7 linked regions of the Oryzias latipes genome follow. The protein of the gene in region 1 purifies or fractionates together with the protein of each later gene. This does not show direct contact. Links are inferred from orthologs where the notes say so. Each region holds a gene or a part of one and is shown in the gene's direction. Other genes may lie near its edges.

What was found.
Region 2: the proteins of SRSF protein kinase 2 (region 1) and c17h1orf35 purify together in Homo sapiens (affinity purification with mass spectrometry; 3 studies listed by BioGRID and IntAct, with this or other methods). This does not show direct contact. The link is inferred for Oryzias latipes from reciprocal best matches to the Homo sapiens genes SRPK2 and C1orf35.
Region 3: the proteins of SRSF protein kinase 2 (region 1) and E3 ubiquitin-protein ligase RBBP6 purify together in Homo sapiens (affinity purification with mass spectrometry; 4 studies listed by BioGRID and IntAct, with this or other methods). This does not show direct contact. The link is inferred for Oryzias latipes from reciprocal best matches to the Homo sapiens genes SRPK2 and RBBP6.
Region 4: the proteins of SRSF protein kinase 2 (region 1) and pnn purify together in Homo sapiens (affinity purification with mass spectrometry; 3 studies listed by BioGRID and IntAct, with this or other methods). This does not show direct contact. The link is inferred for Oryzias latipes from reciprocal best matches to the Homo sapiens genes SRPK2 and PNN.
Region 5: the proteins of SRSF protein kinase 2 (region 1) and scaf1 purify together in Homo sapiens (affinity purification with mass spectrometry; 3 studies listed by BioGRID and IntAct, with this or other methods). This does not show direct contact. The link is inferred for Oryzias latipes from reciprocal best matches to the Homo sapiens genes SRPK2 and SCAF1.
Region 6: the proteins of SRSF protein kinase 2 (region 1) and nop2 purify together in Homo sapiens (affinity purification with mass spectrometry; 3 studies listed by BioGRID and IntAct, with this or other methods). This does not show direct contact. The link is inferred for Oryzias latipes from reciprocal best matches to the Homo sapiens genes SRPK2 and NOP2.
Region 7: the proteins of SRSF protein kinase 2 (region 1) and gnl2 purify together in Homo sapiens (affinity purification with mass spectrometry; 3 studies listed by BioGRID and IntAct, with this or other methods). This does not show direct contact. The link is inferred for Oryzias latipes from reciprocal best matches to the Homo sapiens genes SRPK2 and GNL2.

What each region holds. Positions count from the first base shown.
Region 1 is NC_019864.2:11,784,748-11,788,247, reverse strand, and holds part of SRSF protein kinase 2, read left to right. Parts: intron 1-1,195; coding exon 1,196-1,283; intron 1,284-1,391; coding exon 1,392-1,479; intron 1,480-1,558; coding exon 1,559-1,665; intron 1,666-3,500. UniProt on the Homo sapiens protein: Serine/arginine-rich protein-specific kinase which specifically phosphorylates its substrates at serine residues located in regions rich in arginine/serine dipeptides, known as RS domains and is involved in the phosphorylation of SR splicing factors and the regulation of splicing.
Region 2 is NC_019875.2:27,890,373-27,894,666, forward strand, and holds the start of c17h1orf35 (multiple myeloma tumor-associated protein 2), read left to right. Parts: upstream 1-1,494; 5' UTR 1,495-1,949; coding exon 1,950-2,046; intron 2,047-2,164; coding exon of another isoform or gene 2,165-2,186; exon of another isoform or gene 2,187-2,486; intron 2,487-3,131; exon of another isoform or gene 3,132-3,165; coding exon 3,166-3,316; intron 3,317-3,407; coding exon 3,408-3,453; intron 3,454-3,529; coding exon 3,530-3,612; intron 3,613-3,981; coding exon 3,982-4,054; intron 4,055-4,294. Other genes in the region: guanylate kinase, read right to left, coding at 1,354-1,387.
Region 3 is NC_019859.2:21,164,417-21,167,916, reverse strand, and holds part of E3 ubiquitin-protein ligase RBBP6, read left to right. Parts: intron 1-101; coding exon 102-141; intron 142-2,898; coding exon 2,899-2,940; intron 2,941-3,058; coding exon 3,059-3,147; intron 3,148-3,254; coding exon 3,255-3,351; intron 3,352-3,450; coding exon 3,451-3,500. UniProt on the Homo sapiens protein: E3 ubiquitin-protein ligase which promotes ubiquitination of YBX1, leading to its degradation by the proteasome.
Region 4 is NC_019880.2:19,637,658-19,640,917, forward strand, and holds the end of pnn (pinin), read left to right. Parts: intron 1-819; coding exon 820-958; intron 959-1,086; coding exon 1,087-2,228; 3' UTR 2,229-2,760; downstream 2,761-3,260. Other genes in the region: gemin2 (gem-associated protein 2), read right to left, coding at 3,093-3,129. UniProt on the Homo sapiens protein: Transcriptional activator binding to the E-box 1 core sequence of the E-cadherin promoter gene; the core-binding sequence is 5'CAGGTG-3'. Capable of reversing CTBP1-mediated transcription repression.
Region 5 is NC_019866.2:24,765,844-24,769,905, forward strand, and holds the start of scaf1 (splicing factor, arginine/serine-rich 19), read left to right. Parts: upstream 1-1,262; 5' UTR 1,263-1,449; intron 1,450-2,734; 5' UTR 2,735-2,805; coding exon 2,806-4,062.
Region 6 is NC_019874.2:20,209,456-20,213,623, forward strand, and holds the start of nop2 (probable 28S rRNA (cytosine(4447)-C(5))-methyltransferase), read left to right. Parts: upstream 1-1,368; 5' UTR 1,369-1,489; intron 1,490-2,597; 5' UTR 2,598-2,611; coding exon 2,612-2,717; intron 2,718-2,842; coding exon 2,843-2,885; intron 2,886-2,967; coding exon 2,968-3,032; intron 3,033-3,443; coding exon 3,444-3,745; intron 3,746-4,168. Other genes in the region: emg1 (ribosomal RNA small subunit methyltransferase NEP1), read right to left, coding at 32-237, 312-453, 806-907, 1,027-1,176. UniProt on the Homo sapiens protein: S-adenosyl-L-methionine-dependent methyltransferase that specifically methylates the C(5) position of cytosine 4447 in 28S rRNA. Required for efficient rRNA processing and 60S ribosomal subunit biogenesis.
Region 7 is NC_019874.2:23,612,859-23,616,358, reverse strand, and holds part of gnl2 (nucleolar GTP-binding protein 2), read left to right. Parts: intron 1-2,421; coding exon 2,422-2,550; intron 2,551-3,500. UniProt on the Homo sapiens protein: GTPase that associates with pre-60S ribosomal subunits in the nucleolus and is required for their nuclear export and maturation.

The sequences.
Region 1 (3,500 bases):
TGAAACCACAGGTGTTGACACGGCAACACCTGTTGGCTTGATAATTGATAGTACCATCATTCCAGGAGTTTCTCCTTTCACAGACTTGTGCACGAACACACTCTGCGTTGTCACTGGTGTTTCTTACGCTGACGGTGGTCATCGTCTCAGGTTTGGTCACGATTGTTCAGAAGTCAAGACCTTAGACTAATCACATGAACATGGAACTGCCATCCTCTGTTCTGTAGTTACTTAACCTGCATTATTTACAGGTTATGCTTGATTAAAAAACGCTCCTTTTTGTTTTATTTTGCGTTTTTTCTACTGGATGTGCCCAGGTTATGGCAGAAACACTGTGGTTATTGGTACCGTTTTTAGAACAGCTTCTACTACTCAGTAGTTAATAGCATCTTATTTTCTTTTACTCATTTTATTTCATTTTCTATCTGCCTTTCATGTATTTTACCATGCGATGTAGTTTTATGATGTTATTTTTATTGATTTATTTTTCTTCTTAGTTTGTAGCAGTTTGGTTCCGGGATGGCATTGTAAAATGCTGTCGTCATTCTTTTTTTTTTATGTAACAGTTTTGTTTTGTCCCGCCATTGCAAAGACGCCAGCGTTGAACCGAACCGTTTCTTTTTCGAGCCCAATTTACAAGATTTGCACCGCTTTGACATTACACCTTTTGTGATTGTGGGTGGCGATCATGCGCTAGTAAACAGTAGAAAAAAAGACGCGCCAAATAATTAATGTATACGTAGCCTGAGTCGTATACAGTATATGTATGCTTGTTCCATTGCAATGACTTTAAAATGCAAACTGTTACTACTGCTGTTCAGTAATGTGTAACATAGAAATGCATAGTAAGTATCCTTTCCTCATGAAAGGATAGAAGGTTTTTGGCAGATAATTTCTAACGTGTTTTGACATTTAGGTGAACAAGTTGAATGAAAATGAGAAATTAAGTTTTTTTTTTACCTTATGGAGTAGAAACGAAGTCATGGAAGTGCAGCCTGCACCTTGTAAAAGAAAAACACGGCGATGACCAAAATGAGGATGGTCCGTCTTAAAGATTCTTTACATTTGCTGTTTTTTTTTTTTTTTTTTCTGTGATGTTTTTGTTTTTCTTCACAGCCCCCTGGCACCCTACACCTCAGTAACTAGAATATTCACACGGATAAATTCTGAACCTCTTCATTGTGTCGCATTGCAGGGTGAAGAACTTTGTGGCGATGAAGGTGGTGAAGAGCGCCCAGCACTACACAGAGACGGCACTCGATGAGATTAAACTGCTGCGATGTGTGAGAATCAAATCCATTGATTCCATCCCCCCAAACATCACCTTTCCTTTACAGCCTCTCTTTCCGTAGACTTTTCTATGGTGACCTCTTCACCATCTTGTCCTGCAGGTGAGAGAAAGCGACCCCGGAGACCCCAACAAGGACATGGTGGTTCAGCTGATAGACGACTTCAAGATCTCTGGAGTCAACGGCATACGTATCCTAATTAAAAGGATGCCTTTGTGGGAGCCAGCATCAAAGAGATTGGAGTTGGAGTCCTTGACTCATCCTCACAGATGTGTGCATGGTTTTTGAGGTGTTGGGTCATCACCTGCTGAAATGGATTATTAAATCTAACTACCAAGGTCTGCCTCTGCAGTGTGTCAAAAGCATAATCAGACAGGTGAGGATGTTCACACAAAACACACCGACTTTTTCATTAGAGTGTCATAGATTCAGCTAGAGCTTGTCATATTACTCAGACCTTTATCACAAAGATGATGTATAAGATCACATTTACCCATAGGTACACACCGGGCATGTTCAGCCCGTTGTGTTTACACTTGACAAGCAGGGAGGGGCTTCTTCTTTTTGCTTCTGTTAACTAGCACATGTCCACCAGCTACAGTTGGAAGAGGCTTGGTAGGAAAAAGACATATTAAGTTTAAATATGCGTCTTTTGCTGCCATCTTTAATTTAAGTTTAAGTTTTGCCAATTAAGCGGAACTTCAGGTATTTTCTGCACATTAGTGTGTTGGGCAAAGGTAATCACTGTTGAAGATATGTTCTTATGCTTTGCTGTAAACAATAAAGTTGTTTACAGACCCAGTAGGGCAGTGTTTTTCAACCTTTTTTGAGCCACGGCACAGTTTAACCTTGAAAAAAAAATCCCGCGGCAAACTGGCATCGAAAAATAAAAAAAAGGAGAAACTCATAGTCTGTATTGATCTACAGCCCCTCTGCAATCTCACATGCATGTTTGTGATAATTGTGGCAGAGAAACCTGGAAGCTGCAGCTGTTTTTTCTAAAAGATGTAATAAAAGTTAAGTTAAAAGATTTAAAAACTGTTTGATGTGTGTTCGTTGTGGTTTCAAGATGTTTAAGAGGAAAGACTCATTGTGCGCTGAGACGCTGTCACTTTAGCCAAATGTATCATGGGAGATGTAGTGGCAGACAGACTAGCGTCTCTGAGCTTCATTGTTTTGTTCACTTGTTCCACGGTTTGACACCGGATTCTGTGGAAAGCTACACCGCTAAAGATGAGCTTTAGCTGGTATTTTTGTTGAAACTGAGCGACTTTATGAGCAGAATCAGAACAAGGAAGTGAAGACTTTAACCACTTCTGATTGGTCAGACTGATGACATGTGATTAAGCCTTCAAGAATGATTGGTGGAGACAGTTAAAGGGGCGGAACTTTTCCGAAAACAGCTGTAGCTACGGCTAAATCGCGGTACCGTCATTCTTATCAAAGTTTCTTTAATAGAATCAAATAAACACAAAGAAAAAGGTATTTTATGATCTTTTATATTCCTAACTACTCAGTGTTTTATGAGGGGCCTGTTTGGATGAACAAAGAGCTTATTTCCTGGAGATGGAAAATGTTTTTAGATCAGTTAATGAGGGCAATTTCCCATGGCACACTGGTTGAAAAACACTGCACTAGAGAAAGTGAAAGCAGGAAACAGATCATTTCACTTCACTATTTTTTGCTATTTTGAAGATATTATATGGAATGTTCAAGTGTCCTGAAATTTGTCCTGAATTCATCCTGAAATTTGTTCTCCCATTTTTTTTCTGGTGTGATATAAAAAAAGTTATAAAGGATGGTTGTTTTCTGGTTGACCAAAAATAAATTAACTGGACAATCCTCAAAGTAAAATAAAAATACAGTTTTAAATAGGACAGTTGGTTATGTAATTGCCAATAAACCTTTCCTATAAATTAATTTAAGAAAAAAACATCATATATACAAAAAAAAGTTTTGATATAAGTTTGATGAAATCTACATAAAGACAATAAAGATTGCAATTCTTAAAACGTTTTTTTGTTTGTTTTGTTAGTAACGTCCTAAACTGTCATGTCCATAATTGGATATAAACTTTTTATTTATTTATTTATTGTTTTATTCATTATGATTATGGAGTTTGTTTGCCTAAATCAAAATACCCGTGTTGTTTTCCAGGACATAGTATCTGCTGAGCAGCAGTAGTTTATTAGAATTTCCCCTATGAATTGT
Region 2 (4,294 bases), on another chromosome or scaffold:
AATTAAGATGAAAATATATATATATTTGGTGCATAGTTAAGACCTAGTTCTGCTCAAGACCATTTATTTCTCTAAACTTAAGTTGTCAATTAGAAAGATTAGCTTCTGATTTCCCTCAAACTGTTTTCCAAAAAAAAAAACCTTTCCTACTTAGAAGAGGCTGACAGGAAATGAGAAACATGTGAAGCTACGATCAGCACAGACTGACTCTCATGATGAACGCACAGAGAATCATGTGATCAGATTTACAACCAAATAAAAATCACGTGAAGCCTACAAAGCACTAGCGGCTCCGTGAACCAGAAAGGCTGAGCGTCACTGTCAAATTCTATTGGACATTTTTTTAATCTACATTTCAGTTTACATGACAGTTTGGTTAAACACTGTTAACACATAACTAGTGATTTAACCAAATCAAAACACAACTTTCATTAATTCAATGAGAACATTTTACGTAAAAAATTGACAGAAAATGTTTGTTTTTTATATAAAATTGATTAAAATGAGATGTTATCAATCAATGTTAAGTACATGTTCTAAGAGAAGATCAATTGATTATCCTTAAGAAAACACACAGAAAATACACATGTATTGCATTACAGATGTCCTGTTTACTTGAATGTAGATATTATTGTGGCAAAGTAATAAACTGATTTTATCTCTTGGGTTTGACGGTTTTCTGTTAATTTATTTCTTTAGTATCTCACTGGTTGGTTAAAAATATAATATGTTAAATGTCTGTTGTGTCAAACTGCACCAATGTTGTTTTGCTCCGAATAAATACCATTTAAAAATGCTCAACAGATTATCAGACTTTTCAGTAAACCAAAACCTAAAAAATTGGTTCCAACTTAAATGTTTTTTTTTGTTTTTTTTTTAATATTGCAAGGTATGTAACATCTCACAGATATAAGCTTATATTCTAATTCTTCAAAATGCACATTTTTAGTGACAAATGGTAGAAAATGCATTAATTTGCATGAATAAGCAAACTGGATATCTTATAAATATTTTTAAAAAAGAAGAAGAAAAAAGAAAGACAATTTTGTTAGTGATGTAATTTTTCTCCCAAATTACATTTTACAAAGGGTTTCCTAATTTAAGTTGACATTAAACAAAATAGATGATACTGGACGTTTTTATGCTACTATCAAAAGTTGTATCATCCATCTAGGATTTATATGCATCCTGAAATAAAATAAAACACCGGTTGACTTCTTGGGCACCATCTTTTCCTGTAGCTCCGTGACAACAAAGTGTCTCCAGGAATGAATAGTGGTTCCGACACAGAGATGGGAAAAAGAGAACAGAACAGCAGAAGGAGGAAAGGAAGTCAAAAATCCTCATTCCTACCTGAAAACAGTCTGATAAAATGTCTCATGTACATCGGGAGGCAGGTTTTTCTGATTCTGCAGACGGTCCTCGGAGCATTTTCTGCCTCCGCCGCCCTTTTCCTCACCGCGAGACGCCTACGTCATCACTACGTACCCAAACACGTTACGTCCGCGCGCGCCACTGGACGCGACCAAATGAAATAAACAAAAGGAGCAGGAAATGCTCGTTAGTCGGGAAAAAAGTTGTATTGCTTCTATTTGCAGTAGTCAGATCTTTATTGCTGAGGATTACAAATCTACCGTTTTAAATTTTTTACTTAAATAAAAAAATTGTTTGTTGGGTCTTTGCAACTTTAAGCTGCGCGCGCGAGAGTCCAGCTTTAACGCTCTGCTCTTTGTCGCGTTGTTGGGTTGTTTGTTTGTTTGGAAGTTGCTGTCGAAACAAACGCAGCCGTGTGGGTTTCTTTCGTGGAAACTGGGAATCTAAACTTCCTGGATGAGTCCACGCTAACGGCCCGCACCGACCACGCAGCTCTGCTAACCAACGTAGCTGCTAGCTAGCTAGCTAAGTGTTACTTTTCCCCCCCGAATCTCCACTTTTTTGCCCTTTTGAAGATGTTTGGTTCATCGAGATCCGGAGGCATCCGTGGAGGCCAAGACCAGTTCAACTGGGATGAAGTGAAGGTCGATAAACACAGAGAGAATTATCTCGGTAAGTCCATAACGTGCAGTCGATTACGCTATCAGCGCGTGCCACACATCCAGGAAAGATTAGCTCCAGATGCTTTTAAACCCCGTGTGGCCCCCCTAAAATTAGGTTGTTTTCCTACCTTTTGTTATTGAATTCCTCATTACACAAGGCTTGGCTTGATCTAATAGCTTGATATCAATCCCGATTAATCTCCGTAAAGAAAGCAAAAACGTGCTGTCAATGCCTCCTCTGGTCGACACGTTCGTTGTCTCTGTGCCCTCGCCGCTGCCAGCGGGTCAGCATGCCCAGAGAGAGCTACGTAGTGATCACCACAGTAGTCGGGACCGAGAAACATGTAACAAAAGCAAATCGACAAGCTCTCATAGCTGCTTAGATTTCTGAATGTTGTCTGTGTAAAATATGAGCTAAAACCACAACCTTTCAGGTGCAAAGTCAAACAGAAATGAGGCTCAAAACACCCACCCTTAACATGGCAGGAGACTGTTGCCTTATGTGTGGATTGCCTAAATACTTGGAATTAAAAAAACAGTCTAACAACAAGACTGCACTTGTCTATAATGAGATATTCTAAAAGACAAAGTTTACTCAGCTGGAGGAAGTTTAAAACATTGATCTGATATCAATTTTACAGCTTATATTGCACACTTGTATATACTGTTTGTTTGTTTGCTTGTTTGATTTTATTATATTACAATGTTATCTTTACTACTTTTCCCTTCCTTACTGTTCTTGCACTGATGGTGATGCTTAAATCTCATTGTACTATGCACAATGACAATAAAGCCATTCTATTCTATTCTATTCTATTCTAATTTGATTCTTACACTTGAACCTTTATGGGGGAAAATGCAAAAGGATACATCTACTGGAGAAGTCTGGACTGCTAATATTTTCATTTAAATGTGTGTAACCATGATCATCTTTAAAAGTCAAATAGATTTATTGAAATGATTATTTGGTGCAAAACATTAAAACATCTAGATAAAAGAAAAAGTCTAAATATAAAGTATAACAATCCTGCATAATACATTTTGTATTCTGAATTTGTGGCATTTGAAATGTAGAATTTAAAGAAGAACCTTTACCTAAATAGTTTGACCTCTTCTGCGTTTTTTCCAGGAAACTCCTTGATGGCTCCCGTAGGACGATGGCAGAAAGGGAAAGATCTGACCTGGTATGCAAAGGACAAGAAAGGTGGTGCTCCTTTGTCCAAAGAAGAGGAGCTTGCTGCAGTCAGAGCTGCAGAGGAGGAGGCACTGATGGCTGCCCTGTACGTGCGACTTCCCATAAGCCATTTCCTGTACCTTCTTGAAGATTAGGACACAAAAAGTGATGCTTTGCGTTTCTTGTTCTGAACTTAGAGGCCATAAGAATATAAAGAGACAACCAACAGGGCTTACTAAAGAGGTATGGATACGTTGCTGGTCAATATTGGAAAAATTGCTGTCAAGTCCTGTAAGTTGAATTTGATTTTTTTTTTCAGGATCTTGTAGAGGTATGCCGGAGAGAAGAGGTTGATGGTGAAGAGAAGGATGTGGATCGTATCTCAGGTTTAGGAAGCTCAAGGTGAGATTATCTTCTTGTCTGTGTCATAAAACAGATTTTTTTTATGCAAAATGTTTGCTTTAGGAAAATTTCAACTTTTCTTTTTCTTATTATAAATGCAATTTGCTTGAACAAATGTACAGAAGTTATGTTTAATTGTCCAAATGACAAATGGGAGTTTGTTAATAGTTTTTTTTTTTCTAGTTTATACACTAAAATGAGTCAAATGATTTGTTAATCAGGTTGCTGGTGAATAATATTCTTGGATATTTCATGACTTTTCTTTGCAGTTTTAGGTTTGGCAGAATTCAACCTTCTGTTCAGAGGAGATAAGGTGACTGGCTGTCTGTGGTTTGTTTAAGTTGACTCCATCTTTATTTCCCTCTAAAGTGCAGGGTCACGAAAAATGGTGCTGTCCCAAAAGGAAAAGGAGGCGGCTAAAATGGGTCTGCAAATTTTTACAGTAAGTCGTCTTTCTACATCATCCATACTGCCATTTGGAAACATTATTGTATTAAAACAGCATTTTTTAATTGTCAAAAATTAGTAGTAAATATGTGTTTGATTTTTAATTTTTTAACTATTGACTTTATTAGCATTAGTTATTTAGCAATATTGACGAGGGTTGAGTATGGCAAAAAGAATGAGTCGATTCAGGACTATATGATTAAATATGAATCACTTAAACTTACAAATTTGTTTT
Region 3 (3,500 bases), on another chromosome or scaffold:
GTATTTCACCCAATCTTGTAGAAATCTAAATCAATAATTAAGTCGATTAAAGTAAATGTGTGACTTGTCATTGATGGCCAATGTTGTTTTGTTTTTTGCAGAGATCGTTCTGACACATCTGTGGTTGGATCTTCTAGACCCGTATGTAAAACAAATCCAAATCAACACACTCTTCTCCTCACCTCTTTCTCTCCCACTCTGTTTGGCTTTATTCACCCTTCTCAAGAACATTCTGTCAACAAAAATCCAATTGTATCTTTTGTTTACTGTGTTTTTTTTGTTTGTTTTACATTTGTGTTGATATCTCAACCTCTGTGTGACTTGATGTTCTTTTTTAAGGAGAGTTTTCTACACTTAACACGGTTCATATCAGAAAAATCTCTGCTTTGTGTCTCATATGACATCAGTAGACTAAAGTTATTGTGGCTTATTGAGAGAAGGTTTGGCAGAACGTCCTTTTTTAAGACAATGGAATACATTTTTGAAATGTTGCTCTATTAAAATATTCTGAAAAAGTAATTTTATATGAATGTTGCAGAATTAAATGATTTTGTAGCCTGCTTTAAGCCAGGCATATGCACTTTAAGGAAGTTGGTCTTTTGTGCTGCTAATTTCTTGTAATTTATTTTCTGTGAAAATTTTAATGATCTGGTTTATTTAAAAAAAAAACCACAATAATGACAGTTTTACTGGGGTTGATTGTAATTAACGTGGATTGCAATTACACAGAAGTTGTGAGTGGAACAGATTTGCCAGTAATTTTTTTTTTTTAATGTCAACAACTGACCCTTCTCAACAATGTTCTAAAATCTGTGGTTTGGTAACACATAATGTTGATTATTCTGTCTTGTACAATTTCTTCGTGAAAGCTGTTTTGTTTTTGTTCTGGTATGGACTGAACATAACACACACACAAAATTTAATCCTGAAGTGCACAAAAGTCATTTAGAATTCAAGTGCCTTTTTCTGTCTTGCAATCAAACCTGCTAGATTAATGTGTACTGTTAAAACTGGATTGAGGAGTCTTAAGGAGCTAGTTATTAAAAGGTACTGTGATTTTGCCTCACATGTAATTTTGTCTTTTAAAAGTATTAAGACCCAATGGTAATCTAAGTACCATGTTGATCTTTAGAGGCCTCCAATGGTTGCTGCAGTGAGACGTATGCTGGTGAAGTGTGTCCTGTAAGCTGCAGAACCTGTCAATAAAGCTGTTGAGTGGTTTTGTCAGAACTGCTTGCACCAGATCCCTTTGTGTTCCCTGCGCAGCCTAAAGCAATAACCACTGTCTCCTGTGCCCTGCAGACTGCGATGGATCCTACTCCTGCTAGCTTGAATATTAGACCTTTGTCACATGCATTTAGATCTGCCTTTTGTAGTATAAAATACATTTTTCTTTGCTTAAAGACCTCTTTTCTCAAACTTTGTGATCAACATAACTTTTGCTCCTCCAAAGTAGGACTGACTGACCGTTTCAGGATTCAGTTGAAAGGATTGCTAACAACTGTTTTGTTTTCTCTTATGCTTTCCTCTAAAGCCGGATGTGTTTCTTTTGTCATACCAGTTTTATATATGTAAATGCAGAATTAGCCTTTTTTAAGAGCTTGCACAGCTTTTTGCCAACCTATCGTAAGTCCAGGAAAGAATCTCAAACTATTAAGTTCATTAGACATTGAGGTTTGATTCTTTGGCCTTGGTAAAGACCCACTCTGATGAAAATTGTATTATTGATGTTTATTTTTCTGAGGATAGAAGACACGCATCAACAACATTAAGCTTGCGTATTTAAAATGTCTTTATTCAAATCGTTGTGAATCAGCAGAAAAAAATATACAACCAGCACGTCACAAACTCCCTGCAGCGCTCCATTCTGATGTATCCATTTGTTGACGACTAGATCTACGTACGATCCGATCCACGTTTTCCTCATCCACGTTTGGAATCTGACTCGAAATTACACGGCTGGATAGCTTCAGTATTGATAGCCATTTTTGTTGCACAGCTAATGTTAGGCTGGGGTCGTGAAGGGCTGTAAGCTAGCGGGAGAGCATGTAAACAGAGTGATTACAGGAAATGAGGGCAGGCTCACACCGTGCCAGAATTTCTGCCCACAACTCGGCAGTGAAAATAAATGTCTGCCGCTCTGCTGAAACATTGCTTTAGAAAACTAGCTTTTTCTAGGACAGGTTTTTTTTATTTTTGGCTTACAGCAGCTTAATTGGAATTAATTCCAGTGGGAACACTTTTTCAATCGATCAAAAAGTAATCAGAGTGGGACTTTAAATTAAGGATTAGATGTGCATATAGTGTACTTCTAGAATTTGCTGATTATACCTATGTAGTTCCATAACCTTGATGCATCTAAAAAGGAGTTTAAGGCCATTTAATGCTAGCAGCTCTATAGACTCCACAGCAGAACTGTATTGTTTTATAAATTTGGCCAGAATAGAAGGATTTATGGATGTCCATGTGAAATGGTTCAAACTTAATTACCTTCTTTGGTTCAAAATACCGGTATAACCATGTACCGTCATCTTTGTAGGCAAAAAAATTAGCTTCTAAGTGACTTTGTTTTTTTTTTTACAATTAGCCTTTTAGAGTGTTTCTTTTCTGTTATGTTAACTAAAGCAGATGCAGTTTGAGCAAACCTGAGTTTTGTTTGAACATCAACAGCTAAACTAGATGAAGATTTAATGTTAAATGCAGATTATATGAGGATCTGTCATTGTTTGAATGGTTGATTGCTGTATTTGATAGAACAGCAAAGGCTGTAATAATGTTGCAAGGACGTGATTGTCTTCGCAATCATGTTGCAAGGACACAGGAAGCGTCTTGAGTTCTAATCTATCATTAGATGCCTAACGGGTAACGTTAACTTTATATGCTCTGATTCTCCTGCAGACGGATTCTTCTCCTTCTTTGTCTCTTGCCCAGCTTGCCAAGGTATTTTGTTTACATGGTCACTTTGGAAGAGAATGTCTATTTTTGAATGCTCCTCCCCTAACCTCCCTTTTAAATAAATAAAAAATCCTTTTTAACAATTTTCTCTGCTGACTTTTAGACCGCTAATCTGGTTGACGCAAATGCGTCAGAGGAGGACAAGATTAAAGCCATGATGACTCAATCGAATCATGATTATGACCCAGCAAAGTCAGTAGTCACACATTTTGTCTTTTCGTGCTAAATCGTCTCACCTTTTTGCCTTTTAAACGTGCGTATAAGGGATCAACATAACCTTTTTGATACATTTCCTTTAGTTACTCAAAGAAGGCAATTGGACCCCCACCTGCTCACTATACTTGCTTTCGTTGTGGAAAGGCGGGTCACTACATTCGTCAATGCCCTTTGCCAGTGGTAATCATGTTTTTGTCTGTTTGATTTTTTTCTTTTTTTCTTTTTAAAGGCACATTTTTGTTTATGTAAAAATATATCTTCTAATAAAAATGTTTCTAGGTGCAAGACAAAAGCGCAGACGGTCCTAAACCTGTAAAAATCAGTAAGGG
Region 4 (3,260 bases), on another chromosome or scaffold:
TCAAAGAGGGAAAAAAGGATCCAACTCCTTGTTAGGTTTATTTGAACACAGCTAAAAATGTGTTTTACACTCTTTTCTGTGTCTCGTTACACGGCATGAGCTAATGTGACGACATCCTTTTCCTCAAAACGATGCCATTGACACCATAGACACTGCAATTCATTAAAATGTGATCAGATGAATGCAGGTTTAAGTTAATTTTTTAACATAATACACATTGCTTCTCATCGTTTTCCCTACAATCTGTGTCAAACATTTATCAGTGTAGCTTCTTAGACGTCTTCTACTGCATTGCAGTATGCCTCCACCAGATCAAAGCAGCAGTATAAAGTGTTGTCTGTTGAAACAGGCATTTAAAATTGTTCAGCAAAATATAAAGTTTGAATGAAGGACTGCAGTATAGTTGACTTGCTCCGCCTTCCTAAATCCTGACCAGTGAGTGAAGAGATTTTATTCACATGGTTTTGTTTACTAGCTTTGGTTGGAATCAGGAAAGGCCGCTTGACGGCAGTCTGAATACAGAGCAAACGCAAGGTTGAGTGCTCGATCCGGACCACATGATGCGGACTGGGTCTGGAACAAACTGTTTCCTAGTCTGAATACACTAAGTTGCAACTGAGGCCAAACTGCTAAAAAACGCGACTTGTACTCTGACAAGTACAGTAGTTGTTTATGTGACAGATTTTTTTATATACTGGTTATAAAGACTTTTTTTTTTTTGTTACTCCACTAGCAGGTACTTGCTTGTTCTTAGTTTTTAGTAAAATATAAAAAACACAGATGATTATAAATGTCTATCCCATCTTCTCCAAATACCAGCAAGAGGAGTGGACCAGCCACAACAACAACCTGTTGAAATTCATTCGCACAAAGACCAAGCCTCACATCTTCTACCTTCCTGGAAAAATGTGCTCCGCATCACAGAAACTCCTCGAAGAGTCCACCAAGAAACTAAATGGTCAGTCTGGTCTTTTTTTTTTAAAGAAAGAAGCTTTTTTTTTTTAAATTTACAGAATGAGATTATTTATTTGAAGAAGGCAAATAACGTGACCTTTTTCCTGTTTGGCTTTACCGTTTTCTCCACAGCTGTGTTTGAGGAAAGGCGTGAAGCTTTTGCTGAGCAACTCAACAAGATGGAGTCACGTCCCCGGCGCCAGATAAACCGCGACCAGGACACCAACACTGCCGCAAGGATGGACCATCCGGCGGAGGGTAAGCCAGCAGGTCAGGCAGCCAAGTTGACAGGTAAAAGGAGTGTCGCAGAGATGGAGGAGGAGGAAGATGAGGATGAGGAAGGTCAGAGGGAAGGAGATAGAATTGTGATAGAAGGGGATAATGGGGAGGGAAACAAGGAAATATTAGAAAAAGTAGAAGAGGAGGAAGGGATGGAGTTTAGAGAGGAAGGAAGTGAGAAAAAAGAAGCTGAGGAGGAGAGGAAGAAAGAGGAGAAGCAAGCAAGCCCAAAGTCAGAGGAAATGGAGGTGGAAATAGAAGCAGAGAAGGAAGAGGAGATGAAGGAAGTCAAAACAGATGGCAGACACGGGTTTGTAGACCTACAAGAGAAACCTGTAGAAACCCAGGCTTCTAAACCGAGGGAAAACCGCCAAGAAGCAGCAGATCAGCCCCAACCCAGCCTCGCTGTAGAGGGTCCACCAGAGCAGCCCCCTCTGACAGAGAACGCACATGCAGCCCAAGAAGCCCAGACATCATCCACAGCTGATGTCCAGGACTCTGCCAATGAGAATCGGGCAGAGGAGCTCAAATCAACTGAGGCCCCGCAACCGGTGCCCAATTCCCAAGAGGCCCCTGTCGTCAGCCCTAAAAAAGATGATGGTGATGGTGACAGGGGGAGGAAGAAGGCCAAGTCAAGTAGACGCCGCAGTAAAAGCTCCTCCTCGTCCTCCTCCGGGTCCTCGTCAGACTCCTCTTCAAGTGGAAGTTCCTCCTCTTCTTCTGGATCCAGCCGCTCCTCGTCTTCATCATCTTCGTCCTCTAACAGCAGTCACAGCCGCGGTAGAGATGGTGGCAACCACAAGAGGCGGCCATCAGAGAAAGGTACAGACAAGAAGAGGGAGGAGAGGAAGAGCACCAAGGGAGGAAGGAGTAGTAGAGGAAAGGACTCCAAAGAATCAAAGGAGAAGAAGAGGAGGAACGAAGAAGGCAGAGGCAGGTCTTCACGGAGCGAAGGGGAACATAAAGATAGAGATGGGAAGGACAAGAGACGCTGATGTGATGCGAGGTTCTGATTTTTAGAAAAAAATTAACGGTGAATGGTAAACAGACGTCCAGTGGTCATCAGTCTTCTGTTTTTAAAACTTGTTTATTTTTTTTAAAACCATGGGAGGATTTCTCGTGGTTGGGCTTCTTCCTGTTGGGTCTAAATGTCAAATTATTATTTTTTTTTAATTTCTTTTCCAGCTTTTGAACATTCATGTAATGTGGTTGGACAAAGCATCCGTCAGCTTGTGTCTGAGCCCTTTTCTAAAGATTTTAGAGAAACGTCATAGCATCTTTGCATCCAATATGTTTGAATTGCAGCCCAACATTTGGGAATGAGATGTCTTTTGGGGCTTTGGAAATGTGTTTTACGTGAATGTTGTGGGAAGAGTGACCAATCAAAGGTTGTTAAAATGGTTACGAAATTGTTAATCCACTCTGACACTTTGATCTATTTCAAGTGTGACTTGTTTGTTTTGAATTGATTACGAATTTTTTTTACTTGTAATTTGCTTCAAATTAAAGTTGAGCTGTGAGTGGAAATGTGTTTTCATTCCTGCTAAATTTTTTTTCAGAGGTTTTGCTTATCAAGCAGTTTCCCTAAACTTTATTGTGAAATCAAATGTTTCCTTGAGAGGCTTACACTTTAATGAACATCCAAAACATTCTACACAAATCTTTATTTTGAAAGTCACAACAGTGAAAGGATAAAAAATGAAAAATGCAACGTCTTTTACAAAAATAACTCATGCTTGAAAGAAAACATTTTAGTAAGCGTTCCTTTACCCATAGTTCTTCTCCAACCTTTCTTGGAAAATTGAGTTCATCACCACAAGAGATGCCAGTCCATAAAAACGGCTAAATACTTCAGAGCTTCACTCCTGGTCTGCCAAATCATTTTGTTCAAAGTACCTGTAAAGTAAAAAAAAATCTGTCAATGTCATGTATATAAAGTTGATATGGATTTATTTTTTTCTGTCCCAAATCTTAAGGCTAAATTAAAATGTACACTGCCTTGAAAAACTATTAGCTCTACGTATGTG
Region 5 (4,062 bases), on another chromosome or scaffold:
ATATCTCACAGTCTTTTACACATCTCCTTGACCTTTTGACCTTCACATTTACCCACCACCCTTCATCCTTCTCGTGCTGCAGCCTAAACTCAGGTGAGCTCTGGTCGCCTCCATCAGCTCCACCCCGCATGACACCCGACCCTCTGAAACACAAACACCCACAGCTCAGATTCTCAGTCCAGCTGTCAGCTGCACCCCCGTCTTCTGGTTTTCTAACGGTGTCGTACGCGTTGGTTTTGCTCAAGGACACTTCAACATATGAGCAGGCAGAGACGGAGGTTGCCGGTTGAAGTTCTTCCCTGCTGTTCAGGTGTTGGGTCTGTTCCACAGGTGTAGAAAGAACAGCTGCTTCAGTGATGCTCCTCTTCATCAAAGCACAGTCGGCTGCCAGCAGGATTACGACAAATGAAGATTTAGTTAAAAATATTAAATATTTAGTTTAGAAAATTAATTTTAAGGCTAGATCTTAATATTTCATTTGCAAATGATTTATTTTATTAAATTAAATAGTTAATTAACAAACTAAAATTTTTATTCTGTAAACTTAACATGTACCGGTAATTATTTAAAAAAAACATTTAACTTTAAATTAAATATTTAGCTTGCTGACTACATATTAAGTAAGTGTAACATTTATAAATACATGAATTAAAAAGTGAAAATGTGCATTTGAAAAATTAAACCTGTTTTTCTCCAAAAACAGACTAAATTACCAATATTTTAGCTATTAATATTTGACAGCAGCTTTACAAACGGTAAACTACAAGCTTTTCCTAACAGCATTTTTTCCATTTGCGTCTGATTTACCACCATTTGAATAAAGAAATACTCAGAAATGAGGTTTAAATCTTAATTTTCTTTATTAATGTCCTCCATCGTTAGAAAAATGCTGTAAAAAAAAACACTTCTAAATTTCATTGGAGTGGGTTTTTAATAGCGGTTAAAAAGAATGGAATCTGTTTTTTATTTAAGACTTGAGGTCCAAATGTCAGCACCATAATTCAGAAGAATTTATATATGAGTACATGTAGACATTATCAACTTTAAAGACTGAAATATTTTGAGGTTTTTTAAACAACGTTTTTATTGTGAATTCCGTTTTTGCTTCGTGTTTGTTTGTAGGCTTTGAACTCAGAAAGTATTACGTAAAAAGTACCCACCATATCAGTCTTTTTTAAATTTTATTTTATTTTTTCCCTCCATATCAATCTTTCAGAGCCACACAGGGAAGAATGACATAACAAACTCAATTTCCCATCGTCCTTAGCGATCCGGTTTCACCAGAGGGAAGATGGCGGCGCTAAGTGGAACAAGGCTGCCGCTGCGTTTCTAAAAAACGACTAAAGCGGACCGCGCGGGGCTTGGAGAAGCGAGTCGGTGTCTTAGACGGCTTGTCGGTGATCCCGGGGCGGATGCTGCGGCCTCGGAGGGGAAACGGGAGCGCGGACGGTGAGTCGTGAACGCGCTTGTCTGTCTGTCTGCCTCCTAAGCACGGCGGCTATATTAGCCGACTGTCTACTGCTGAGCAGTGAAGTGCGTGAAATGCGGCACGCGCATTTTATTGCTGACTCCCCCCCCCCCCCCCACACACACACACCGTACGTACACGCGCACAGCGACGTGCGTCTTCCAGCCTGGAAGCGGACAGACGAGGCAGCGTCGGGGAGCGTCCGGCGTCACGGTCAACAGTCCGGCTGACATCAGGCAGCGGGGGTGCAGGGAAGCCACAGCCCCCCCCAGAACAGGCCAGCCGCCTTATGAAGACACCCACGAAGCGTGCGGGGAACCAGTCCGGACTCGGGAATGACTAGAACACGCATGGTGGTTCCGAAAAAACCCGGTGCGATCCAAGAACGGGGCTGCAGAACGTTTGAGTCCGCAGGAGACTGCAGGCACGTGCAAGGACGGCACCCTGGTTGCCCTGGAAACAGATGCTGGAACCAAAGTAAAGCTCCTAATCTTAGATGGATGGATGGATGAATGGATGGAGTCACACTTCTAGAACCAGGACTAGAGATGTGACTCCATCCATCTCTAGAAACATCCATGACCATCTGTAGATGTGGATGGAGTCACGTCTCTAGTCCCAGAAACGCACCATCAAGTGTCCAGTCAGAGACTCAACTTTGGTGCTGATGAATGGGTAGCATTCTTTATTATTCACTGACGCACTGATCATGAAAGGGAAATCTTATTTTAGCGGTTTGTCCCTGGCTTCTACGACACCAAGTCTGTAAAATAAAAGGCCTGGAGCCAGATTCACCAGGTTTGCACCGCTTTGACCGTTCACACCAGGTGCGTGCACTAGGATCCGCTAGCGGCTGTCCAGTGTGAACAGCATGGGCTAAAAGCACGCCCAAGATAGCTTAGTGCGTCCCAAACGCGCAGCACAGGCCCGGTGTGAACGTAGCATGAGGCTGAGGATGGCGTGAAGGAGGCTTGCAGCCTCGCTGGTGTATCGACCAATCACAGATGCTCTGTCGGTGCACACTGAAACCACAGTGGCTGTGCTCACGAAGTAAACGACAACGGAATATTTGTTATTATCACATCATACACAGATTATCGGTGCGTGGTCCCAAAGGAAACTTTGTTGGTCGGTAAAACGCAGGCGGTGGCGGGTGTGGCGGCGCTTGCTAGCGGTGGAGTTTTACTTTTGAGGGAGAACCAGCTTTGGTCACATGGTCCCATCATCAGGTCTGAACTCTAATCCTTCTGTTGTTCTTTCCTCTAGATTCGCTCCTGCTTGTCCTTGTGTGACCGCCGCCCCCCCAGCCCCACAGGGAGATCTCTGTGCCCCCCCTCATGGACTTGACTCCAACTCTTGGTTTGAAGAGGAGGCTCGCCTCCCCCTCGTCCCCCGCTGGAGTTGGGGAGCCCGCCAGGACTCTTCGTCGCTCTCCCTCCTCGTCCCTTTCACCTTCATCTTACCCGTCCTCCCCCCTGTCTTCATCTTCGTCGGTGGGGGCTTATCAAAACCATGTGAAAAATCAGAGGGCGGGGTTCTCCACATCTGCCACGCTCACCACTCCTCCCACCTCCCTGGACTTCCCTCGCGCATCCATGCAGTCCGGTGGAGACCGTGCCGAAGATGGTCGGAGGAAGATGTACGATCCCTTCAGTCCCACTGATGGAGACAAGGAGAGGAGGGGGGAGGTGGAGGGGGGAGAAGGAGAGAAGTACGACCCCTTTGACCCCACCGGCTCCCCGGCATCAGATGAGGACAACAGGAGCGACAAAGAATGGATTTCAAAGGGGGATGACGATGAAGAGGAGGAGAAAGATGAAGAACCTCCAGATTCTACAGACACACTGACGGACCTGCCGAGCCCCCAGCTGACCACCAAGCTCCCTCTGAGGAGGAGGGTGGAGCGTGGCCCCCTCAGAGCCGGGCGGCCGGCGGGCGCCGTTGACTCTGATAATTCTGAGATCGAGGAAGGAGAAATAGTTGGAGTCGTTGACAGAGACGGGCTCAAAAAAAGACTGAACGAAGAAGCCCCGCCTCCTGGCTCCCCCAAGATCTCCTTCTTTGCTTCAAAGCCAGAGAGGATCCTCCGGGTTCTGGACGGAGACGGGTTTGTGTCGGTCTGCGCCGAAGGAAACTGGGAGGAAGAGCGGGAGGACGAGCCTGTGGTCGGGGTGGAAGATCTGAGGAGGAAGCTGGTGAGCAGGAGGAAGGAGCGGTATCTCTCCTTTCCCGCCTCATCGCCCCCTTCGCCTCAGCAGCCGAGACCTCCCCCTTCTCCTGCCACTCCCCCCGCTGAGCAGCCCAGCAAGAGCCACAAGGCCTCCAAGAGCGCCAAGGAGCCCGACCGGCAGAAAAGCAAAGAACGCAAAACCGGAGATAAGGAGACGAAGAGGAAGAAGAGAAGGAAAGGCAAAGAGGGAGATCGGAACAGGAGCAAAGACAAAGAGCAAGGAGGCAAGGCTGGAAAGGAGGTCAAAGCAAGGAGGAGCAGCAGGAGCAGCAGCCGTAAGAGAAAGAGAAGACGGCAGAGCACCCCGGAGGCCTCCCACTCCTGCAACTCCTCACGAAAGGGAGGTCACTCCAGGCGATCCTTC
Region 6 (4,168 bases), on another chromosome or scaffold:
AAAATGGTCAAAATCATTTTAGTTTTCTCACCGCTCCGTGTGCAAATGCTCCGATCACCACAGCAGCCGGTCCCTCGGGCACCAACGTCCTGGGACCCACGGCTTCCCCCGAAGAGAAGGAGGTGGCGATGCGAGGGCAGCCAGGAGGCAAGTGGTCAGACACTGGATTCTTAATGAGCCTCAGAAGCTTTTGAGGACCATCAGCTGCTCTGACACTCAGCTTGTGCAGAAGCTGGACTAAATAAGGTTAAAAAGCAAATTAGAAGAAGAAGATGACATTGTCTACACAAACTACACCATTCCAGCTTTACCCATCAGGCCACAGAAGCGTGTGAACGTTCTTGGGATGCGCGTCTGTGGATTGATCTCTATTAAGGAATTTTTCTCTGTATGGATGTAAACCTGCAGTAGGCCTGCCCTGTTCAATGGACTATCCATCAGCATCAGAAGACACTGTAATGAAGCAATTAAAAAGCACAAATCATGACTGACTCATTATTGAAGACAAACAACAAAACAATAACTCTTACTATTTCAATTCACCACAAAAAGAAAAAACTTTAATCTAATTTTTTTCTTTATATATGTCTGCCATAATAAGAAAATTCTAAAAGACGATGTTAAAAACACAATTTTCATTGCGGTGAGTCTTTGATAGCCAGATATTTAGAGATGTGATGCTTAGAATGAAAAACAATCAACTAAACACAACAGAACCGGAAAAACACATTTCTTATTTTTGATAATGCAACAACACATCTTTCTCTGACTCACTGTGGCTACGATCAATAGAAGAAATACTGACCTGATGTGTGATGTCTGGTCTAACTTGTCCCGGATCCCTCCCACTTTTGACAATAATATTTTTGTGTTGATCGCAGTTTAGCAACTCAAACGTTTTTCCGACCTGTAACACAGGGGGAGACACAAAACGAAATATCGATTGAAGAAGATTTATAAATAATGACCTAATGTGATGAGCAGGGCAGATGCTGCCATGCAACTTCCGAGTCTCTGACGCGTCACCTTCACTGTTTCTAACGAGGCCCCCTCCAAAATGACAACAAGTCTCCTTTCTGCCATTCGGTCGTGAAGGCTTCGCATATACTTCGCAGGTTTGGGTTCATATTCGTCCAAATGCTCCAGACCACGCTTCTTTCCTTCGGAGGTAGCCATGCTGTCTTCTTTCGCTGGAGCCTCCTATTCGAGTCGCATGATTAGTGCGTCACTGAAACTTTAACTTAATTTCGGAACAACTTTCAATGAGAACAGAAAATACGTTGTACTCTCTAGAAATATTTATCATTTTCACCGCTTTGAATATATATATATGTATTTTTTAATTAATTAAGATTTAACTTGCGCGTTCTCAGTGATGTCATTTGTGTGCGACGGATGTACTTCTGCAACGTGCTGAAGAAAATTCACGTGTGCTAAATTCTCTTCACACACCACGTTTAAACTCGGTTTCCCCTGGAATATCTGTTGTGTAAGTATAGTAAAATGTATTTATCTCTTCAGCCAATGCAGTCATATTTGTGTTCGCTAAGGTTTTGGCATTTTTCTCGGCCACTGCGTGCGGTCATGCAAAGAAGTTCTGCTCGTCGGATTCGTGATGGTTCTATCTGTTCCTGGTGGTGAAAAACATTTGTTTGCTACTGCTATAGGGTTATTCTACAACGTGTTGTATGTACGTAAATGAATAACTTTGAACAAACTAGTCAACGGTCACAAATGCACATCTGTTTATATGTCATTGAGTCTTGAAACTGCTCGCATATTATTACCACCCAAATATATTTGCTAACCACGGTAGATAAACGCCAGTCCTTAGAATTGTGTGGGACATATAATATTATGTCACGCTTTTGATTTATTATAAAGATTTTTTTCTTGAGTTTCTACTTTAGCTAAAACTAATTAGATCAATATATTTAAGTTTACATTTCCCCTTTGTGTGAAATATTCATGGCAAACTTAGTCATTATAGGACATTATTAACATTTTATTGTTTGGCACATATCACATTCATTGCAGCAAATGTAGATACAGCAAACTCACTTTTTATGCTTTATAAATAAATTCATAATATATTTTATCAGTAAAACCATCCAAACCTGGAAAACGGCAAAAATAATCTTTCAACTAGTCTCTACTTGGTTATTGTTTTAGTTTCCGTTTTATTTTTACATTTCTATTCTTTTGGCTCCCTTGTTTTTCATACTTATTTTATTTTAATAAAAATAATAATAATTTTGCTTCAAAGTATTGTGTTTGGTCATCAGTAAATCACTGCGTATTATGTCTTTTGTACAGCCCCTACAAGGTTATGCCATGTTATCATCTTCTTTGAGAGTTTTGTATGATATTGTGTCATGATGTATAAAATAAAAATCTAAAACTGATAACAGATTGGCTAAAACCAAGCATCTGTAAGCGTCACTTGTAAATAGCTTAAGATGCTAAAACAAAAGGTGGTTAATATTTTACATTGAAATGTATGTTGTTGTTCTATCTATGCATCCAAAAGACATTCCTCCCCAACAGTTGGTTTTATTTTATATGCATTGGTGCATTTTTCTGTCTGTAATGCTTAGTGTAAGTCAGAGCCATGGGTCGGAAGTTGGATCCCACCAACAAAGTGAAGAGAGGACCTGGTAAGAAAGCCAGGAAGCAGAAGGGGGCAGAGGTTGAACTCGCAAAGTTTATTACTGATGGTAAGGATTTATTTGTTTTCTGTCCGTTATTAGTTTATGAATCAATAGTGGTTTGTAAAAGTGCCTTTTTATATATTAAAATCCAATTGCATAACCTATTTTAATATATGTTTCTTTCTTTGTAGAGGATACTGGACCAAAGCGTTTGTCAAGCAGAGCCAGGAAACGGTACGAGTAGGCTGGCTAAAAGTGTCGACTCCTTATGTGATGTAAATTGATTTTTGTGGATTTTTTTGGTCTGAATTTTCAGAGCTGCAAAGAGAGCAGACAATTCCAAAAATCTCAAGGAAGTTCCAAAAAAACAGCCCAAAAAAGGTACAGTTTAGTGTGATTTTTTTTATTTTTTTATTTATTTATTTGTTGGTTTGTTTTTAACACGTAAAAAGAGGCAGAATGCAGCAGGAGTTTTTCCCCCACAATCTGTGGTATGCAGAAAGAATTACAGTTGTACTTTAAAAAATGAGAAAATGAAATGTATTCTTTTTTGGCACGTATGAATTTGTTAAATATACTTTTTAGCTAACTCAAATAAATCAGGGACGTAGTTGTTTTAGGGGTACTTCAGTGACACTCACAGGGAACTGGAGGAATTATGCTTTTGTCCACCTTTATTTATTATCTAGATGTTTTATTCAATTTTTCATAAATTGTTTCGGATATTAATTTTTCTATTTGTTGGTGTTTAAATGTTGATGCCCAAACTTTTTTATGTCAATTCCTATAAAGGTTTTACAGATGAAAACAGTAAGTGGTTGAAACCTACAAAGAGAAAGCGTAAGGCCGATGAGGCGGGAAGTGAAGACGACAGCGAGGAACTCTGGGAAGAAAGTGATGGTGATGAATATGAGGAGGAGAAAGTTCAGCTTCAGCAGAAGGGAAGCAAAGGCCCTGCAAAAACAGAAATAAAAGAAGTAGAGGGAGACGAGGATGATAAAGATGACAGTGACGAAGACATGGTTGATGACTATGGGGCTCTGGATGATGGGAGTGAAGATGAAGCACAGGAAGAGGACAGCGATGCAGAGGATGTAAGTGATCTTTTCTTGATTACTACATCGTTTAGCTTGTGGGTTTTTTTTAAAGTGACAACTTGCAATTGGGTAAAAGAAAACAAATTGTCTAAATCATTAAATACTCGAAAGTAGAATTAGATATGGACTAAAAGACTTCTGTGATTCAAATGCACATCAAAGAAATAAAACAGGCATCATTCTTACACCACTTCATCATTGAGTTTCAAATGTCAATACCAGCTGACAAAGATGTCTCACAGTTCTCTTACTTTCCAATGTAAGAACTCTGAACTGGGAACTTTCTGGTCTTAAAACACCTTTGAGAACCTTGTGTGGAGGATTTGTCCAGCAGTAGACAGCATTTATTTACCCAAGATTATGGTCTTAGTAAGATGAATAGTTATGTTTCTATCTTACAAAGTTAGAGTACCGGTAACT
Region 7 (3,500 bases), on another chromosome or scaffold:
TACAGCTAATAAAAATGTGGTAGACTTATCAAAACAAGTGTGGTGGTTAGCGTTCTAACCTCACAGCAAGAGGTCCTCCGGTTCTAGTCCCAGATCTTTCTGCGTGCAGTTTGCATGTTCTCCCTGTGCAGGCGTGGGTTTTCTCCTGGCACTCCGGCTTCCTCCCATCATCCAAAAACATGCTTCATCTGTGAATTGGTTACTCTAAATTGTCCCTAGGTGTGAATGTGAGAGTGCATGGGTGTGTGATTGTGGCCCAGACAGACTGGTGACCTGTCCAGGGTGTCCCCTCCCTTCACCCAACAGTGGCCGGTTAGGCTCTGGCAGCCCCGTGACCCCATAAGGGAGAAAACGAGTGCAGATGGATGGAAGAATTAAAAATCGAACGTATGACCGCACACAATCAATATAGGTAATTAAAACATTCTGTACTATATTAGATAATTCTAGACCTGCAGACTTGAATTGTTTAACATTATGTCTTAGCAATGTACAGATAATTAAATTGCATTTTTGTAAAAACTGAGCTTAAATCTATTTGTCTTTGTTTATTTTAACCTGCTCTGTTTGCCTGAAAGTAGTGTTTTAAATAGGACCTAAACTTAATAATTAGTACCAGATAATCAAGTGTACTTTAGGATGCTAGAGGAAGATCTAAAAAACCTTCAATCTTCAGAAAAACTTCCAAATTTTAGTTGTTTATTTAAAAAAATGTAAATTTGATTTTTTTAATAGTATAGTTTCTCATAAATATTCCTTTATAAATTGATTGTAATTTTGATGATCATGGTTTACAGTCGGGGAAATGAGTGTGTCAGAAAGTTACAGAATTGCATCAGAACAATTAAGGCTTAAAATGTTTTGGTGTAGATGCTTTAACCTCACGCCTATGTTGTCAGGAAAAATTTTCCTTGTATGAAAATACAAGAGGCATAATCAATTTGCTGTGTAACTAAAATGATAATTAAATAAATCATATATATACAACAGATGAATTGGTATTAAGAATACAATGTTTTCTAATAGTAAAGGAATTACGTCATAAAAGTTTTAAAGTTTGTTCTTGTTTGGAGTCGTTTTTGCTGTTGGAGGAAAAACAATTCTTGAAGTGAGCAACTTTTATGCCTTTGGAGCAAATCCTTGTGGTAATTTCCTGCTGAGAGCAGAGAGTACAGCCAGTGATTTTATCAGTTGTGTCATTCACTTTTCGAGCAGCACGTTTATGAGCAGCGCAGCAGCCAGGCTTCTCACTAAGACCGGCTTCTTCAGAAGCCTCAGAAAGAACTACTGTCCTTACTTTTTTTTCTTTTTTGTTTTACAGCAGCTGTTGTGTTTCGTGTTCATGTAAGAAAATCTGTTGTGTCATCCCAGAACAGTGAAGACTACTGCCCATTTTAATCATAAAAACATTTTTTTTTTTAAAGTAGCGGGTTCACAGACTTCTCCTGTTAAGCATGGGAGAGAGTGGATTATGATAGGGGCTGGGAGTAGTAAATCAGCCATAATTTTTTTTTGTTTCCACAGAAAGACTTGAGAATATTCGTCCTCCTTTGGCTGCTTTGGAGAACAATCCCCGACACGTTCATTTGCTCTGTGTTTGCATGTTTTGGGGCCTCTTTGATAAGGGGAAGTTCAGCGAGTTGAGGTCAAGATGCTCGCTCTGCCTTTTCAGAACATTCCATCTCTTTGCAGCAGAAACGTTTTTTTGGGATACTTCCTCTGCATTTTCTTTTTTTTTTTTTCCCCTCTTAAATCCGTCCATCTGTGTTTACTTTTGTTGTGCCATCCCCTCCGTTTCTGAAACATTGGACTAAATTTGTTCAAAATGGCTTCTTTATACATATCATGATTCATTCTGCTGCTTCTGGCAGCAGGCAAATGATCAATAAACACTGGTTCCTTTGGCTCCTTTCACATGCCTCTGCCTTAACTCTGCTTTCTAAACATTTGAAAAATGATGTGAAGTGCTTCAGATAATGAGCCTTCCTTTCCTTCTTTGTACCCTTCTCATCCCTTTATTCTCTTGATTTAAAAAATTACACATTCCAGAATTTAATCTGGCTTTTATAAATGTTCTGTAGGAAAGTGTTTTCCGTCTTTTCTGCTCCTTAGCAGCTCTGTACTCATATTTATATTACCCATTGCATTTGCATCATCATACATGCATAAACACTGTTTTTTCATGATCAGAATAACCACAACAAATACTCACATTATGTTCCAAAACAAAATAAAAATTGCGTAATTTGTGTACAGTCACAATATTGGGGGGGGGGGGTGTAATTAGGAAACTTTCTGGCTATATTCTGATTGTTTGAAAAGATGCACAAAAGTATTTTCTGTTTATAAAGGAAGCACATCTGTGAAAACAAAAGAAAAAGAAACTTCTCCATTTCTTTTCTTTTTTTTTACCTCTCGCAGCTCCACACAGACAAGAAACAGATAAGCGTGGGTTTCATCGGATATCCAAATGTGGGAAAGAGCTCTGTGATCAACACTCTGCGCTCCAAGAAAGTCTGCAACGTGGCGCCGATCGCCGGAGAAACAAAGGTAAAGTCGACGTCATCTTTGATCAGTCAAAAAAGAACATGACAATCTAGTGTTTTTTAACATGAGATGCTGTGTATCTCTGCACATTTACTTTCCTGTTGAGAGAGACATCTTACTAGTACCAAAGGCTAAGGGTAATATTTCAGACATTGTGCTTTCTCTGGTACAAGCACCACATTTGACATGGCCCTCTTTCAGAAGAGCCCATTTGCCATGAGAAAAATTCCAAATTGTTACAAAAATATTCGATTTTTCTTTTTCCCGGTCTCAACAATGTCGGCTGTTGATGCACAAACTGCAGTCTTTAAACTTGAGGGGTACCTAGACCAAAAAGACCATCACTTCAGGTTGCAGTAAAGACTAAGTGGACCTGACGGGTCAGTCTGCAGGTTTTCCACTGATACAGAAAAGCAGCCTTCAGCTATTTCTGCAATGTTGTTGCTTCCCTAAAACAATTTTCACGCTTAGAGTCAACCGAAACATCTTAGATCTCCATTTCAAATTCCATTTATGAAAGAAGTTAAAGCTAATGTGCTTATGTCTATCTATTGTAAAGTCAGTTCTTTCCTGCTTAAAGCCCCACTCTGATGAAAATTGTGTTTTTAAAACATGTTCTTGTGACATTTTTTTAATGATGGAGGACATATATAGAGAAAATTAAGCTTACATTTGTATTTCTTAGTATTTCTTTATCCAAATCATTGTGAATCAGGAACAGAGGAAAAAGGCCATTGGGAAAAAGAGCTAATTTGCTTTGTGGTAAATAAGTTGGGCGGGCCACAAGCTCACTGCTCCAAGCTCGCAGCTAATGGCGAGGGAAGTGGCGGGCTTGCTCCGCCCCAATGGTCCCCCTCACTACTCAAAAGCAAATTTCTAATGAACTACTGCTGCTCTGCAAAGACATGTCCAATAAACAAAAGCACTTTTTTGATTTTGGCACAAATGACAAT